3 linked regions of the Canis lupus familiaris genome follow. The protein of the gene in region 1 interacts with the protein of each later gene in a pairwise test. Links are inferred from orthologs where the notes say so. Each region holds a gene or a part of one and is shown in the gene's direction. Other genes may lie near its edges.

Region 1 (4,722 bases):
AGACGTGCTGCATTTCCTCCTCACGTCCCTCAGGTCTATTAATAAGAAGGCCAAGGCCCTGGAGAATCCCCCACAGGGGGTGGATGAGACACCTGAGAGCCTGACAGCCTCCAGCCCACCTCCCTGCAACCAGAACAGCCGATGCCCAGAGGAGAAACCTCAGGAGTCAAGCCCTGTAAAGGGCCCAATGGGCCCATCTCAGCTTCTGGGAGCCCTGGAGCCCTGGCCTGGCCTGGCTAACGAGGGGGTGGGGTGCAGCCCGGAGAGTGGCAAAGTAGAGAACAGGGTCAAGGGGTTTTGTAAGCCACGCTGGAACTTTGAACAGATCTCCTTCCCCAACATGGCTTCAGATAGCCGCCACACCCTTCTGCTTGCCCCAGCCCCAGAGCTGCTCCCAGCCAATGTCGCTGGGCGGGAGACAGATGCTGAATCCTGGTGCCAGAAGCTGAACCAAAGGAAGGAGAAGCTCTCCAGGCGGGAACGGGAGCAACAAGCAGAGGCCCAGCGCTTCCGGGAGGATGTAAATTCAGATCCCGAGGTGCAGTGCTGCTCCAACTGGCAGGAGTACAAGCAGCTGCTGCAGAGGAGGTGTCTGCAGAAGAGCCAGAGCCGCCCCCCACACCTGTGGGAACAACCTGTCAGACCCTTGCTGAGTCCTGGCCAGGCAGACTCCCCAGGTACCCGCCCCCCTCACCCAGCCAAAGCCCCACAGGCTCCTGGCAGCTGAGGAATCAAAAGACTTTGAAAGGGGCATGGATTGGCCATAACCAATTGAGGCTTAAGAAAGATGGGGCAGAGAGAGCTATCCAGGGGAGTGGAACCCATAAGGACAGTCTGTTCTCCTGGAAAGCAGCAAAAGGACCCATGTGGGAAGGCGTGGAAATGGCAAGTCAGTGTCCAGGGAGAGGCGAGGGGGAACGAAACTACAACTACATCCTTAAAATAATAAACAAGATACATGTGGATAGCTCTGCCACCGACTAGCTGTGGTCCCCTGTTCTCGCAGCTCTGTGAGAGGGGAGCAAGAGGTCATCTCCTGGCCAAATCAAAGGAAGGCTTACTGTATGCCCTGTGTGTTTAAGAATGGAACTAATAGGGCAAGATTGGTATTAACAGATTCAGGATTCTTTATAATCCTTATGAGAACACGGGAGATGTCACCATAAGTATACTCCAAATATTGCATGGGACGTACCTATAACTTTTTTTTTAATCTGCTAAGTCTGGCAACCCTAAACTAGATGGCAGGTTCAGAAACATCAGAGGAGTCTGCAGATGGTTGACTTCCCTCCCCAACACCTTATTTTCACTGTCCTTGCAGCCATAGCCCTTCAGCATATCTCTGTGCTGCAGACCACACACCTTGCTGATGGAGGTGCCCGGTGAGTTTCCAGGTAGTGCCTGTCTCCATAGTACCTTGGCTGCCAGCAGTTGGCAGCTGGGACTTGACTCCTGAAGTTGGGCATGAGCTGGGGGATCATTCCAGGGCCCTCAGCCTGGCTGAGTCTCATGTGTCTAGGGGAGAGGGAGGGATGAGAGGCAAGAGGTGGACTAAGCCTGAGGATTCTGAGGTAGGCAGCCAAACCTCCCCCTGCCCAAGTGGCACCTCACAGCAGGACCTCCATCCCTGTGGATGAGGCTGCTTCCTGGAACTGTGGGAGGGAAAGAGCGGGGCATGAAAGAAAAGGGAGAGGAGGAGAAAGATCCCTGTTTCTTAAAGTTTCTTCCTCTGTCCACAGGCTGCTGGAGAAGTCTGGGGGCTTGGAGATCAGCTTTGACATTTATCAGGCCGATGCTGTGGCCACATTCCGAAAGAATAACCCCGGCAAACCCTACGCCCGGATGTGCATTAGTGGGTACGAGACCAGTGACCCTACCCCCAGGCTGCTGCCAGTTCTTTTGTAAACCAAGTGGACCTCTCCTCCCCACCCCTAGCCAGTTTGCCAATCTGAGAGGAACCAGAGGTCCAGAGAGCTGTCATTGATGCAGGCCACACAGCCAGTCAGTACTATAGGAACCAGAGCATACCAAGTCCTAAGCCCTCATTTCTGGCATCTTGCGCAGTCTCTCTCCTGTGCCAATTTACTGCAGGGCTCACCCAGCAGAAGGGTTGGGAATCAGAGGGATTCACAGGCTATGAGTGGTAAGAACCTCACTCTTCCTAGCCCTGGTACTCAACCAAGGCTCTGGTCACTCTTGGAGAACTTACTAGAACCATGCAGTTTGCAGACAGGAGAGTCCAGAGGCCATTTGGGTTCTTGCACTCCCAACTCTTGTCTAATTCCCCCCTCCCTGGTAGCCTGAGAGGGCTGGGGTCTCAGAGCTTATGGGCGGCCTGTGCCTACCTCTCTGTCTAACTTTATCCCTGCAGATTTGATGAGCCAGTTCCAGACCTCTGTACCCTCAAGCGGCTGTCCTACCAGAGTGGGGATGTTCCTCTGATCTTTGCCCTGGTGGATCATGGAGACATCTCCTTCTACAGCTTCAGGGACTTCACGCTGCCCAGAGATCTGGAACACTAATGACACCGCTCTGGCAGGGCATGGGACCTGCTCGGGGGGACCTGGACTGTCTATTCTCAGGGACCATCTCAGCTGCCTCCTATACCCAGACTCACCTGTAGCTTCAGGGGCTAGTCTGGGCCTTGGCCCTGAGTGTCTGATGCTTGCAGGAGAACGAAGCCATGCCCCTCCCCTCCCCCCACCTGGCTTCCATAGTCCCAGGCCTGAGATTGCTGTCTTGCAGTGATACTTTGGAACTCAGGACTAGATTTCAGAGACCCAGCGGGGTGGGGCAGAAGAGAGGACTCTGTGCCTTTAATCGAGAGGGTGCCTGCTTCGTGCGATAAAGCCAAAGCCATTAAAAAATAGATCGCTCTAATGCTGTGGCTGGAGATGGTGCAAAACTCCCCGGCCCTGCCCGAGCCTCAGGCCACCACCCCTCAAGTCCCGATGTCCGTGGAGCAGGCTCCAGGCCCTCACCCCTCCTTTGCCAACCCGCAGACCGTGCTTTCTCTGGTGCGGGAGCTAGGTCCCCGCGAGGGCAAGAACGCGACCCCGCACTTTCCTCAGGCCCTGCGCCCAGGGGACAGGAAATCACAGACCTAATCAGCTTGGCTTTCTCAATGGTCGTCCACGGGGAGGAGGCTGGCGCTCCATCGGGCCTTCCCTGAACTTCCCCGCTTCGGGGTAGAAGGGCGGCGGAGAGGCGCCATGTCGGTGTGGCTTGAACGCTAGCGGCTTCGGAGCGCGCCATTCGCACCCCTGGCCTCCGCGCCTCCTCCGCTCCCGCCTCTCGTCGCTCCACCTCGCTCCGCAGTTGTGCTAAAAACTGGTCACCGTTGTCCTTTGGGGCCTCGGGCGCCTTCTTGACTCCGCAGCAACTCGGCGGACTGGGGTCCGGGCTCGGGGCCCGCCCCGAGGGGAGGCGCCTGGCGGCAACGCCCCCGTCCCCAAGCCACCTCGCCGTGGGGTCCCGAAACCGGGCCCAGTGGCCGCCGGTCACCCGCTCTGATTGGGTTGTGCGTCTTCGGGAAGAGCAGGCCCGGCTACGTCCCTCCCTCGGCCGCTCGGGGCCGGCGGGGGGAGGGACGGCTCCCCTCCGCGGTCCGGCCTGGGAGGCGGGCCAGGCTGCCGCGCGTCCCAGGGACTATTTCCTCCCGGACGCGGCAGGACATTGGGCGCGGCGCGCCGTCCTGAGTCCAGGTGTGCTCAGGTGAGACAGGGGCGGGCCCTAAGCGCCTCGTGCATATTCAGGCGGCGCGGCCCCGCCCCCGCGCTCCCCGGGACCGCGGATTGGCCCGAGAGCGGCCGCCGCCCGCCCCCCGAGGGCGCCCTCGCTGCGCGCCCGCCCCGTCGGCTCCGAGCTGCGGGAGGCGGGGCCAGGCCCGGGGGCGGGGCCGCTGGGGCCCGGGGCTCGGCGAGCCCGTCCGGCTCGCCCTTTATGTAAATAGCGGCGGCTCCGCCCCCTGCTCGCCGCGCCGGAGGTGAGCAGGAAGGAGTCTGCCGCCCAGCAGCCCGTGGCCCGGCTGCGGAGTGAGCGGAGCCGGCGGCGGGGGCCGTGGAACGCCGAGGCCTCGGGCGGGGGCCGGCCTGGGGCTCCAGGTGAGGCGCGGGCCCGGAAACACCGAGCCGGGTCCGCCCCCTCGGAGCGCCCTCCGCTCGGGGCGGGAAGGCGGGAGAGGGCCGGGACCCCTGCTTTCCCCGGGCGGGGCGGGGAGGGCTGTGCCCGGGTCGGCGCGCGCGTCGCCCTGGATCCCGGGGCTCCGTTCGTCCCGGCGAAAGACACCTGTAGGAAGTGCGGCTGGGAACTTTTCCCTGCCTGATCCGTCCGCGTTTACGGAATTCGAGCTCCAGGTTTGCCTAGTACTGTTGGTTTGGGGAAACGGGGAAACAAGTGCCCGGCCTGGCTGAGTGCAGGAGGTCACCGCGGGCGGGGGTGGGATCCCGGGACCTTGGGCCCACGTGCAGGGCGCCTGGCCCGAGTGGCTGGCGACGCGCGGCTCAGGTAGCCGGCTCTCCGCGAGCGGCGGCCGCAGCGCGTTACCTCGCCGGCTTAGAGCCTGCCCCTGCCATCTGGGCCCGCTCCCTGCCGGCCCTTTGTGCCTCCTAATCCCCGGACGCAGGAAGCCCGCGGGAGGGACTTCGGTCTCTGGGCCTTTCTCCGCCTGTGGCGGCCTTGGACACCTTTAAGGGAAGGCATCGAGATCCGGTGTGTTTTCCA
Region 2 (6,427 bases), on another chromosome or scaffold:
CCAAGAAGGCTGTGATGTGACTTAGAGAAAATACCCATGTTAGATAAGCTTCATTAGGCATGAGTTACAGGGCTGTTGGCCACTAGTTCAATATTAATGAATCAACAAGAGATATTAAATAAAGTGTCTTTAAACAGAAAGTAAGGTTATGTACTCATCAGTTGATAAAACATATTGTGACCAGAGTCTGGCAGGAACCTAGCCCTGTATTTTCCATGAGTGATGATTTAGTATTCAGTAGTATGGTGTTCAGGGTTTCACTATAGCACTGTAAAATTTAAATAACATTTTCACTATAAAATTTAAATATTTATCTATTAGAGATACACACTGAAATATGAGTGAAATCAAATGATGTTTAGGATTGCTTTATTTTTTTTTTTAATTTTTATTTATGATAGTCACAGAGAGAGAGAGAGAGAGAGAGAGAGAGAGAGAGGGGCAGAGACATAGGCAGAGGGAGAAGCAGGCTCCATGCACCCGGAGCCCGACGTGGGACCGGATCCTGGATCTCCAGGATCGCGCCCCGGGCCAAAGGCAGGCGCTAAACCGCTGCGCCACCCAGGGATCCCTAGGATTACTTTAAAATATTCCAGCAGTGGGATAAAGGTATACATATGGAGAGTATAAAAGAAATAAGATAGCAAAGGTTAAAGACTGTGGAAGTGGTAATTTATTAGAATATTCTACTTTTGTGTTTGAAAATGATGGTGACAGGAGGTTTAAAAAACAGATTGAGGATAAAATCTTGGGGGAAGAATATCTTACTTGGTAGTTTTCACTCTGGACCCTCTGTGGGGATAGGGCTCCCAAAGATACCACCTGAGATCTCATTATGGGGGAATCCCAAACCCTTGAAAGTAGAGAACCAAGCTGAGCGGTTTGGGAGCCCTGGCTGTAGTCTCTGCCTCACCTCAGACTTGCTCTGCTACTTCTGGTAACCCACAGTGCCTCTGAACCTTTTTTCTTATCAGTTAAATAAGGAAATTGAATTGGACAGCCTCTGGGTTCCCCTTCATTGTTAAAACCCTCTCATTCTAAAACCAGTATTTCCTAAATTGGCATGTTCTGCTACAATATTGCAGCCTCCTGCCAGCTCTCTCTTCCCTGCCCCATTCATCCTGATGCCACTAGTCTGTGAACCTTGCTGAAATTTTTTTTTTTTTTGCAACACTCTAACCAGGGAAATATACTCATTTTGATTTATCTAAATCAAAGTCTGAACTCTAAGCCCAGCAGTTAAGGCCTGTGCAGGTAGACCATCCACTGAAGCCCTCAGGTTAAGAAGGGACCAGGAGGGCAGCCGGGGTGGCTCAGCGGTGTACTACCGCCTTCGGCCCTGGGCCTGATCCTGGAGACCTGGTTGTGACCCCGGGGTCCTGGGATCGAGTCCCTGCATGGAGCCTGCTTCTCCCTCTGCCTGTGTCTCTGCCTCTCTCTCTCTCTCTCTTATGAATAAATAAATAAAATCTTAAAAAAAAAAAAAAAGAAGGGACCAGGAAACAGGGGACAACACAGGGTACACCCAACTATTGCAGAAACAGAGGAAAGCCACCCAAGACTGCCTAGGGAGGCAAGAGGAAGTCTCTTGAAGGAAGAGCTATATGAGCTGAGGCCCAGGGGCGAGGGGGGGGCAGGAATTACTGCTGCAAACCAAGGAGAGGAGGATGGCCCGGGCCAAGGCAAGTGTGCCTGAAGTCCTGGAGACCAGAGAAATTTGAAAAAGGCTCGGATTTCAAAGATTTCAAAGCCATCCCATCAAGCCCCATGAATCTCTCTGGCACTATTTGCCACCCTTCCCTGTCACCCACCTTCCCCACCTGCCCAGCACGTGTGGTATGTGTGCTGGGGACCCTGGGACTCATAATGGGAAAAGTATACATCGAACCCCCTAGTAGACCTCCTTTAGAATAACCAGGTCAGGATTAACTTGTAACGCTTTCCCACACCCTTTTATTTTGCGCATCCGGCGTAGTTCTAAGGACCCACTTCTCCACAGAGGAAACCAAAGCTCAAAAAGGGCAGGGACAGGGGCTGGGGACTTCAACGCAGCCTGACTCCCGGCGGTCGTCCTTCACCCCCGCGGGGCAGCCAGGGCGCACAGTGGCTTTTACTCAGGCGTCTGCGAGGGGGCGCTGGCGGGCAGGTTCCGGGCGCGGGGCGGCCGAGGCATCCACACCGCGAAAGCCGAGGGCGCCGTCAGGGCCGCGCACACGCCCGCTCTCTTCAGTGAGATCCGGTGCCCTCCGGGTCCCATCCCGCCCCACCCCCACCGCGGGGGTCTCCGTGCCTGGGCTAGTCCCATTTCCACCACCTCCCAACTAGCTGACATCGGACAATAACTGAGGATGTCACATGTTAAACGAATCTTGCGAGGCCGCTGTGGGGATTAAACGAAAGCAGCATCTGTCTATTCCAGGGGAGGACAGGAAAGCGAACTCGCTTACACGCGGAGAAGGGTGAAATGGAGGAACAGAAAACGCGCCTCCAGGGCCTGCGCAGGCGCTCTCCGCAAACACCCGGCGGGCGCTCCCGCGGGCTCCGCGGCTGCGCATTCGGCCCGGCTTTGCGGCCGCACTGCTTGACGGCAGCGGTCTCCGCCCTCCGGCCGGCGTTGCCGAAGTAACGACAAGCGCGTGGGGCCGAGAAAGGTAAGGCGCGGGCTGGGCTGCCCGCGGCGTCCCGAGGCGCTGAGCGCCGTGGCGGCGGCTCGAGGTGGGGGTTCTGCTGCGAGAAGAGTCGTCGCCTTCTCGGAACCCCCCCCCCGGAAGCGAGAAAGGCGTGTAGCCTTCCCCCGCGTGGCACAGCCGCCCCAGAGTGGGCCGGGCGGGGAGCCAGGCTTCCTGGTCGCGCCCGAATCAACCCCCTCTTCTGCGAGCACCTGTAGCCCTTTGTGCTGCTTTTCATTCTTTCTGAGGAACTGGACGTGGCCACGTCCAGTACTGGGGGCCGGGGACGTCCAGGTGTATCGGACACCCTCTCTGCCCCAGGGGAGCCTCAGCCGCTGGTGCGGTTGCTGGGGGGCGGGGGGCCCTCGAGGAAGTCTGCAGAGGGGTGAATTAAGACGGGGAGTCGGCACTTGGGTGGGCCCTGCACACTCTGGCTTGCGTGCGGTCATGCGTGGCGGTCGCAGCCCCCGTCTGGCCAACACCTTGCACACGGCAGGCCCGGTACGAGGCGCCTTCGCAGTTACCCCCTTCATCCTCACAACAGCCTTCAAGGGGTTTAGGTTTTGTTTATGTGGCTTAGTCTCACGTCCTAACTTGAAAACTCCCCAGGGGCTGGATTGTTCGCCTTGTCCCTTTCATCCTTGCCTCCCATAGCCCAGGAGGTACACGGTTGGAGCTTCAAACATTTTTTAATTGGGAGAAGGTGAGCTTTACTGAGTAGGAGGTGTTAACCAGGTTTGTTTGGCAAGGTCCTTCCAGGGGGTCGGAAAATTAAATGGAGTTCCCTCTCCCGTTTTTGTTTTGCTTGGAATAAACGTTTGCTGAGCACCTGAACGGTGTTAGCTTGTGTGTTCAAGGGAAACATAAGCCCTTTTTTTTTTTCTTTTTTAAGATTGTATTTATTCATGAGAGGCACAGAGAGAGAGAGAGACACAGGCAGAGGGAGAAGCAGGTTCCACGCAGGAAGCCCGACGTGGGACTCGATCCCGGGTCTCCAGGATCACGCCCTGGGCTGAAGGCGGCGCTAAACCGCTGAGCCACCCGGCTGCCCAAGCCCTATTTTTCATAGTAAAGTAAATGGACCTAATGCTACTTGTATTTGGAGGCAAGTATGCCGCCGGCCCCCGCCCCCGCCCCCAGCGTTTGGGAAAGGAAAAGCTACATCCTTTACAGGTGCATAGCACTCGGCCCCTAGGGAGCTGTTGGGAGTGAGTTTGAATCGGCTATTCTGTCACCAGTAGTTGGCAGCTGTGTGACTACATGTTAAGATCACCTGGGTCCCACCCCAGAATTTCTGATGTAATTGCAGGTAAGTTCTGAGCGTTAGGAGTTTTGAGATTTCCCCCAGGTGATTCTAAGGGCAGCCAAGCTTGAGAGCCACTGTTGTATACCACCCCAGGTTAATTAATCTTATTTCAGTCGTGTTCCCTGCTTGAGAGTCTCTGCATCAACTCCAAGTCTAAACCAGCTTTCATGTTCCAAACCCCTTGACAACTGGCTCAGTCATACCTACACATCTGTGTGTGTGCTTCAGACATGGGTGGTCTTTTAGGCCAGACTTCTTGCAATGCTGTGTCTCTGTACAGTGGAGCTTTGGGCAAATAACTGGCCCTCTCTTCCTTGTTTGTGAAAGAGGATGCCAGTACCCATCTGTGTACCATATAGCACAGTCAGTGCCTAGCATGTTGTACCCATGGATGATGATTACCTCTTCTCAATTTACTCATGCCATACCTTGACATTATGCTGTTCTCCTATCATGGCACTAAAGAAACGTGTCGTAAATGCCTACTGCAGATATGGAGAATAGTGAATTCATTCCTTTCTCCCCTCTTTGCCTTTCAAGTCTAGTACAAGACAACTCCTTCACAAAACCATGAAACAAGATCGTTTGGTTTGTCCTACTGAATTTTTAAAATAACAGCTTTATTGAGAGACCGTTACACATACATAAAACTCACCCTTGTAGGGGACCCCTGGGTGGCTCAGTGGTTGAGAGTCTGCCTTTGGCTCAGGGCATGATCCCAGTGTCCTGGGATCAAGTCCCACATCAGGCTTCCTGCATGGAGCCTGCTTCTCCCTCTGCTTATGTCCCTGCTTTTCTCTCTCTCTGTGTCTCTCATGAATGAATGAATGAATGAATGAATGAATGAATGAATGAATGAAATCAATCTAAAAAAAGCTCACCCTTGTAAAATGTACAATTCAGTAATGTTAGTATATTCACAGAGTTGGTCAGCCATCACATCATCACTGCACTCTGGTTTTAAAACATTTTCATCACCCTCAAAAAAAAAAAAAAATCCATACCTATTAGCAGTCACTCCGCATTTCTCCCTTCATTCAGCAGCTGGCAGTCACTAATCTACTTTGTGTCTCTATGGATTTGCTGTTGTGGACTTTTCATATTAACGGTCTTATACAATATGTGGTCTTTTGTGACTGCTTTCACTTAATGCTTTCAAGCTTCATACACACTGTAGCATATATCAACACTTCCTTTGTTGCTGATAATCCATTCTATATGGATACATCACAATTTTTTTAATCCATTCATCTGTTGATGGACATTTGGTTTGTTACTGCTTTTTTTAACTATTATAAATCATACTACTGTAAACATTCAGGTACAGATTTTTGCATGAACATGTTTTCAGTTTTCTTGTATCTGTACCAAGGACTGGAATTATATGGGTATTTTGCATTTAACATCTGAATGACTTCCAGACTTTTCCAGTGCTGTTCAATTTGAAGATGAAGAAACAGGGCTCAGAGAGCTTAAGTGGGTTGTGCAAGGTCACATGATAATGATGGCAGGTTTGCATATATTGGAGGCCTATCAGCCAAATTCTTGGTAATTTGGTGGGGACAGGTGACTTGGGGACCCTACTCTTCCGCCATCTTGCCCCACCTATCAGCCAAATTCTTGAAGCCTGTTCTGCCACATGGGCAAAAGTAACACCAGATCACAGACTTTGAGGTTTAATGGAAAACAATGTTTTGTGGCAGGAACCTTTCTGTCACACACATACAGGTTGAAGTACAAAGTTCTTGACATCAAGTGTCCTAGCTCATTCTTGGTATTTTTAAGAGTATAGCATCAGTCTGAGGGAAAATTCCAAACTAGGCAAATTAAAATATAACTTCATTGTCACTTGTTTGAGATAATTTAATTGGAAGTTCTTGAAGTTAGCCATTTAACATTTTCTCTTTTCTTAAAATTCCAAATGTAGCATATACAAGTTAAATCCTAACCAGAAGTTAAGTTATAAAAGTGAAAAATCTCATAAAAGTCCAACTTGTTCCTGGAAATGCCTAGAAAGTTTTTCACTAGATTGCATCATCTGCCTCAAAAAAGCTGACACGGCATCAAGTGTTAGAATAAATTGCTGTTTCTTCTGTTGAATACTAAATGCAATCATTGGCTTAGATTGAAGGATAAGTTGGCAAATGACAGTTTAGCTAAAATGCTCTTGGAAGAAAATCTCTTAATTGTTCGTTAATGTGCAACATACGTGGTTTTGTTAGGAATGCTTTACAGCAGTGTGTGTGTGTATATATAATGTATATATGAGTCATGCTCAGTATGTAATTCCCTTGAGGGATCTTACTTAAAAATTAAATTCTAGTGTTTTGCTGCTTAGCATACTTAGTCAAGTCTATGAAGGTTCCAACTTGCTGATTCTTCTTTTTCATAGTTATCTTTGTACTTGATTTATCAATTTCTATAACTCTTCCTTGGTCTGTGTTTTCCTTTG
Region 3 (6,455 bases), on another chromosome or scaffold:
AATTAATTTAACTCAGGAAGAAAATGATCAAGGGTTTAGTTGGTGAGAATGAAAAAGACATGAGGACAGTCTTCTTTGGGGGGTGTGGAGATGGCAGGAATGCTTGGTGTAAGATGACAAGGGAGAAAAGGAGTGCAGGCAAGCCTAGATGCTGTAAATACTGTGCCCTCACTCTGTTTAAGAAGTAAGTTGGAGGGGATCCCTGGGTGGCGCAGCAGTTTGGCGCCTGCCTTTGGCCCAGGGCGTGATCCTGAAGACCCGGGATCGAATCCCATGTCAGGCTCCCGGTGCATGGAGCCTGCTTCTCCCTCTGCCTGTGTCTCTGCCTCTCTCTCTCTCTCTGTGTGATGTGACTATCATAAATAAATAAAAATTAAAAAAAATAAAGAAGTGAGTTGGAGGGACGCCTTGACTGGCTCACTAGGTGAAGTATGGGACTCCTGATCTCCGCGCTGTGAGTCAGAGTCCCATATTGAAGGTAGACATTACTTTATTTAAAAATAAGTGAAATGGGAGATAGTCTAAAGGCGGGGAGAGGTTTCTTTTCCCTAAATTCAGCTTGAGATGGCTGCACAAATAAGCCAAATAAAGATGACCTTCAGATAATTGGGAGAAATTGCCTCAAGGGAGAGAGTGTGGAGGCGAAGAAAGAGATCTGGGAAATAGACTGCTGGGAAAGAGGAGAGGCTGAGCTCATTCAGGGAGGGAATTTGCAAACAGAAGCCTGGAACTGAATTTTTGAAGGATGGTGAATGGTTACGGGATACCTGAGAGTTCACAGGAGAACTAACGCATGTGTGGTGAACGAATGAATTAAAGTAAACCATCAAGGACTAAGCCGTAGAAAGTGAGGATGGCACTGCCTGCTGACAGAATGAGTGTGAAGGTAAGAGTGGGTGTGAAAGAGCCAACCCAGAAAATTGTCCCAGGCTTCTTGATCCCGAGTAACCATGAGAGCCGGACTGAAGAAAGTACTCATCTATAAAGAGGGGGTGACAATTATAGTATGTGTTTCATAGGGTTCCTGAGAGGATTACATGAATTTACACCTGCAAAGCTCATTGAACAGTACCTGGCATCTAACACTACCTGTTTGCTATCATGATAACTGGACTCGGACTCCCAAATCCTGAGTTTGAGTCCTAACATGGGCAAATCCCTTCCCCTGTCTCTGTCCTCCTTTGAAATTGGGAGATCATACCACTGACTTTACACGTTGGCTGAGAAAGAAAATACTGGAAAGGGCTTTAAAAAATTCAGACTGGGCAGCCCAGATGGCTCAGCGGTTTAGTGCCGCTTGCAGCCCAGGGCGTGATCCAGGAGACCCGGGATCGAGTCCCACGTCGGGCTCCCTGCATGGAGCCTGCTTCTCTCTCTGCCTGTGTCTCTGCCTTTCTCTCTGTGTCTCTCATGAATAAACAAATAAAATATTAAAAAAAATAAAAAATTGAAACTGCTGTGCATGTGGATGGCATTATAAGAGCTCCCCCTCCTCAACCTATAATAAAAACTCAAAAGCTAACGTCAGATGCTGTGTTACACTGTGTTACACTGTGCTTAGGACTTTACATGAGTCATCCATGCAATCTTTAAAACGACTTTAAGAGGTTGGGTACTGTTATTATCCCTGTTTTACAGACAAGAAACTGGGTCTCAGAGAGTTAGCCTGATTTGCCCAAAGCCACACAGCGAGAAAGTGGCCGAGCAGAGCACAGATTCCAAAGCCCAAGCTCGCGAGGCTGATGGATGCGGCCCCAACTGCTGCCTGCGGGGTAGGTGGGCGGCCTTGTACAACTGTTGGGAATTCAGGGAGGGAAACCGAGCCCCCCAAAGAAATCCCCGATCCGGAGGAGAGACGTTGTTGGGTAATGACTGGAAGGAATTCTTGGACGTTTAAGTGTTTTATTAAAACAAATTGTAGGGACGCCTGGGTGGCTCCGCGGTTGAGCGCCCGCCTTCAGCCCGGGGCGTGATCCTGGGGACCGGGGGTCGAGTCCCGCGTCGGGCTCCCTGCATGGAGCCTGCTTCTCCCTCTGCCTGCGTCTCTGCCTCTCTCTCTCTCTCCCTGTGTCTCTCATGAATAAATAAATAAAATATTAAGAAAAAATAAATTGCAACGCCGTCTCGGTGCCAAGCGCTGTCAGGGAGGGGACGACACCCAGGCCGGCCTCCTCCACCTGCCTTAGCCCAGACGTCCCCGGGTCCCACGAGGGGTTCCGAGGGATTCCGCTAATTCCGCGACCTCCTGGCTTGTGGACCAGGCAAGCCGACGGTCGTGGGACCCAGACGGCGAGCCGGCCCGCCTCCCCCTCCCCCCGCCGTCTCTCCCGGGCTGCAGGTGAGCTGGAACCTCGGGGGCGAGAGTCCCCTCCAGCCGCGCCCCGGCAACCATTGGCTCCTCCGCGGGTCCCCGCCTCGCGCGGGGCGTCACCGCATCCTACCCGCGGCTCGCCGTCTTCGCAAACAAGGACGCCGCCGCCCCGCCCACCTATGGCGTCACGATCAAAACAATCTTGTAACTACAACTCCCAGAAGGCCGCGCGGCTGCGCGAGCTCCGCCGCTGGAGGCAGTTCCGGCAAAACTACCGATCCCGATAGGCATCGCGCGGCCACTGTTCCCACTGTTCCTGCGTCGCGCCTGCGCAGAACCGCCTTTGTTTCCGGCGTGGATCCGGGCGGGCGCGGCGTGCCGTTGGGTTTAGGCGCTGTCGGGGGCTCCTCGGTTTGCCGGTTTGTGTTTGCGGCTGTGCAGGTGAGAGAACGGCCGGCGCTTTGGGACCAGGGCACGTTTCGGCGTCTCGGGGTGCTGGGACAGATGCTGGACTTACACTTGCGGTTCGCAGTCGGAAATCGTTGTTCACCACTCCTCGGTTCCTCGGCGTTTTCTAGTTGACGAAGTAATTCTTCTTCCCCTTCACCGATCCCCACAACACTTGGGGAGATCAGGTGATTTGTCTAACGACAGTAGTAGCAGATGCTGAGCGGGTTCTTAGGCTATTTTCTTTTCTTTTTTTAAGATTTTATTTATTTATTCATGAGAGGCACACAGAGAGAGGCAGAGACGCAGGCGGAGGGAGAAGCAGGCTCCCTGCAGGGAGCAGATGTGGGCCTCGATCCCTGGACTTCGGGATCACGACCTGAGCGGAAGGCAGATGCTCAACCCCTGAGCCAGCCAGCTAGGTGCCTCACCCCAGGCTATTTCCTAAGTCCGAACCCAGGGTTCTCTGCTTTGCATTCAGTTTGCAGACGCCCTTTCTTGTGGACTAAGAGAGCTGGGAGGGTATTTGTCTCCTTTTCAAGTCGAGTATCCCAATAGAGTGACGAAAGGAGCGATGGAAGTGATATAATCAAGTCTTAGGTCAATGTGTAGATATACTTTTCTAATGTATGAAAAGTATACATTTATTCAGTCGGTGTTTTTATGAGGTGCCTATGGGTTGTCGAGCCTTAGATACTGGAAGTAACAGCAGCAAACCAGACTGCCTAACCCTTACATTCCAGTGGGGGTAGACAGGCAAATGTATAGTGAGACGGGGTGATCACAGCTAAGGGGAAGAATGAGGGTAAGGAGAAATATCCAGGGGAGGATTTTGAGTAGTGTCCTAACTCCTGTTTCAGTCTGGTAATTAATTTGTGTTCTAGGCACAGCAACCACACAGAAAAGATGGGAGAGGAAGCCAATGACGACAAGAAGCCAACAACTAAATTTGAACTAGAGCGAGAAACAGAACTTCGCTTTGAGGTGGAGGCATCTCAGTCAGTTCAGTTGGAGCTGCTGGCTGGCATGGCAGAAATATTTGGCACAGAGCTGACCCGAAACAAGAAATTCACCTTTGATGCTGGTGCCAAGGTGGCTGTTTTCACTTGGCATGGTTGTTCTTTACAGCTGAGTGGCCGCACCGAGGTGGCTTATGTCTCCAAGGACACTCCTATGTTGCTTTATCTCAACACTCACACAGCCTTGGAGCAGATGAGGAGGCAGGCGGAGAAGGAAGAAGAGCGAGGTCCCCGGGTGATGGTCGTGGGCCCCACTGATGTGGGCAAGTCCACAGTGTGCCGTCTGCTGCTCAACTATGCAGTGCGTTTGGGCCGCCGTCCCACTTATGTGGAGCTGGATGTGGGCCAGGGGTCTGTTTCCATCCCTGGTACCATGGGGGCCCTCTACATTGAGCGGCCAGCAGATGTCGAAGAGGGATTCTCTATCCAGGCCCCTCTGGTGTATCATTTTGGCTCCACCACTCCTGGCACCAACATCAAGCTTTATAATAAGGTCAGAGCCAGAGTCAAGGTGGGATGGAGGGAAGGGCTGCTGTCAGGGTAGGAAGCTGTGCAAAAGTGTGCTAATTAAAACTGTCTATGGCCATTTCTTTGCTCCCTTTCAGCTGGGATTTCTGTCACATGACTTTGGAAGACAGTTTCAATTATGTCAATCTCAGGTTCTTAAATATTCCTGTGGCCCTGTTCTTAAGTAATGTACTAAATTTCTACTTAGGACACGAAACAGAAGAAGCAACATAAAATCGAAATCTGTGTTATGGGGTTAAAACCTTAGCCATTAAGAATGTCATTGTTTTCTGGTACCTAATAGCCACTTATTCTACATAACTATTGAGTTCTTTCGTTTTGTGTTTCCTTTCCTCACCTTGATGCTCTCTTCTGCAGATTACATCTCGTTTAGCGGATGTGTTCAATCAAAGGTGTGAAGTGAACCGAAGGGCCTCTGTGAGTGGCTGTGTCATTAACACCTGTGGCTGGGTCAAGGGTTCTGGGTATCAGGCCCTGGTGCATGCAGCCTCAGCCTTTGAGGTAGACGTGGTTGTGGTTCTGGATCAAGAACGACTGTACAATGAACTAAAACGGGACCTGCCTCACTTCGTCCGAACTGTGCTGCTCCCTAAATCAGGGGGTGTGGTTGAACGCTCCAAAGACTTCCGGCGGGAGTGTAGGGATGAGCGTATCCGTGAGTATTTCTATGGATTCCGGGGCTGTTTCTATCCCCATGCCTTCAATGTCAAATTTTCAGATGTGAAAATCTACAAAGTTGGGGCACCCACCATCCCAGACTCCTGTTTGCCTTTGGGTATGTCTCAGGAGGACAATCAGCTCAAGCTAGTACCAGTCACACCTGGACGAGATATGGTGCACCACCTTCTGAGTGTTAGCACTGCTGAGGGCACAGAGGAGAACCTTTCTGAGACCAGTGTGGCTGGCTTCATCGTGGTGACCAGTGTGGACCTGGAACATCAGGTGTTTACTGTTCTCTCTCCAGCCCCCCGCCCACTGCCTAAGAACTTCCTTCTCATCATGGATATCCGGTTCATGGATCTTAAGTAGAGACTGGTATGAAGCCTTGCTGCCTGGGGCATCGAGATCTTCTGGCCATCATGAAAGGCAAAAAAGTTGGGCTAAAGTATGAGACTCTGTTGAGGCCAAACAGACGAGTAAATAGTGAACTAGTAGAAAGCATATTTCTACCTCTTAAGATGGGTGGTGGGAGCCTAACTCTTCTGATCTTGAACCAAAAAGAACCAGGAGAACATAATTGGTTTCTTGGATCACCAAAGGTGCCGCTTTGTATTCTCCGAGGCCCTGGAGAATCGTATTTTTTCCACTATGCTACTTGGTGGACTAATTTTTAGGAGGAACTTTTTAAAAAATTATCACTGCTTTATATTCTGTACATAGTACTTGTTATTCCATTTATCCAAGATGAAAGATTGAATCAGAAGGCCTCTTTCTAGTAAAGTTCAAACTTGGGAAATTTTAATAAATATTTTTGCCATACCACAGAAGTTGGTATAATTTTTTTTTAATTTTGTTTTTCTCCCTAAGCATGATGGAAACATTATTGAAGTGAGTTATTGCTAAATGCTTCAAAGAAAGCCAAGGGCCCACCTTTGAGCCAAGCAGGTGAATTTTTATAATGGTTTTCCTTTCCTTGTAGGTAAATAGATGCTAAATCTGTTAATGCCAGGTTTACTTTGAGGAGCTACAGAGGCTGGTGATAAACTTGGATTGAGATTTCTGGTCTAATTATTTTCCATACATAGCTCATTTGCTCTCCGCTGCAGCTGTCTTTCCTATTGTCCTTCTGATTGGAACTGGGCCCCAGGTCAAGGTGTAAATTGAATTTTCGGGTGGTAAGAAGCTGGGAAAGAAAGCCCCATTCTCTTTGATTTCTTGCAAATGATTTGTGTTCCTAGTTTAGACTGGATTATTGAGTATTATCTGATACCCTTTGATTCATTCTTTCCACAAGTGTTTATTGAGCATATGCTATTGGCCAGGAACCATTCTAGATGGGGAACAAGATAGACAAAATCTTACAGAGCTTACATAGAATAAGCAGACAAAAAAGGTAAGTGCTATGTAAAGTTAAAATTGCGTGGTCTGAGACAGAGTGACTGGGAGGGTTAATTAGAACGGGTGGTCAGGAAAGGCCTCCCCTGAGCACA

What was found. The genes of interacting proteins can lie anywhere in the genome.
Region 2: the proteins of TSEN54 (region 1) and TSEN2 interact in a two-hybrid assay, tested with the Homo sapiens proteins (2 studies listed by BioGRID and IntAct). The two-hybrid records come from large-scale screens. The link is inferred for Canis lupus familiaris from reciprocal best matches to the Homo sapiens genes TSEN54 and TSEN2.
Region 3: the proteins of TSEN54 (region 1) and CLP1 interact in binary tests that used the Homo sapiens proteins (3 or more experiments, as listed by UniProt). The link is inferred for Canis lupus familiaris from reciprocal best matches to the Homo sapiens genes TSEN54 and CLP1.

What each region holds. Positions count from the first base shown.
Region 1 is NC_049230.1:5,888,226-5,892,947, reverse strand, and holds the end of TSEN54 (tRNA-splicing endonuclease subunit Sen54), read left to right. Parts: coding exon 1-677; intron 678-1,321; coding exon 1,322-1,382; intron 1,383-1,739; coding exon 1,740-1,856; intron 1,857-2,371; coding exon 2,372-2,522; 3' UTR 2,523-2,880; downstream 2,881-4,722.
Region 2 is NC_049241.1:6,160,764-6,167,190, reverse strand, and holds the start of TSEN2 (tRNA-splicing endonuclease subunit Sen2), read left to right. Parts: upstream 1-2,542; 5' UTR 2,543-2,651; intron 2,652-3,628; exon of another isoform or gene 3,629-3,774; intron 3,775-3,832; exon of another isoform or gene 3,833-3,978; intron 3,979-6,427.
Region 3 is NC_049239.1:38,996,702-39,003,156, reverse strand, and holds CLP1 (polyribonucleotide 5'-hydroxyl-kinase Clp1), read left to right. Parts: upstream 1-2,570; 5' UTR 2,571-2,897; exon of another isoform or gene 2,898-2,946; intron 2,947-3,642; 5' UTR 3,643-3,664; coding exon 3,665-4,270; intron 4,271-4,662; coding exon 4,663-5,334; 3' UTR 5,335-5,789; downstream 5,790-6,455. UniProt on the Homo sapiens protein: Polynucleotide kinase that can phosphorylate the 5'-hydroxyl groups of double-stranded RNA (dsRNA), single-stranded RNA (ssRNA), double-stranded DNA (dsDNA) and double-stranded DNA:RNA hybrids. dsRNA is phosphorylated more efficiently than dsDNA, and the RNA component of a DNA:RNA hybrid is phosphorylated more efficiently than the DNA component.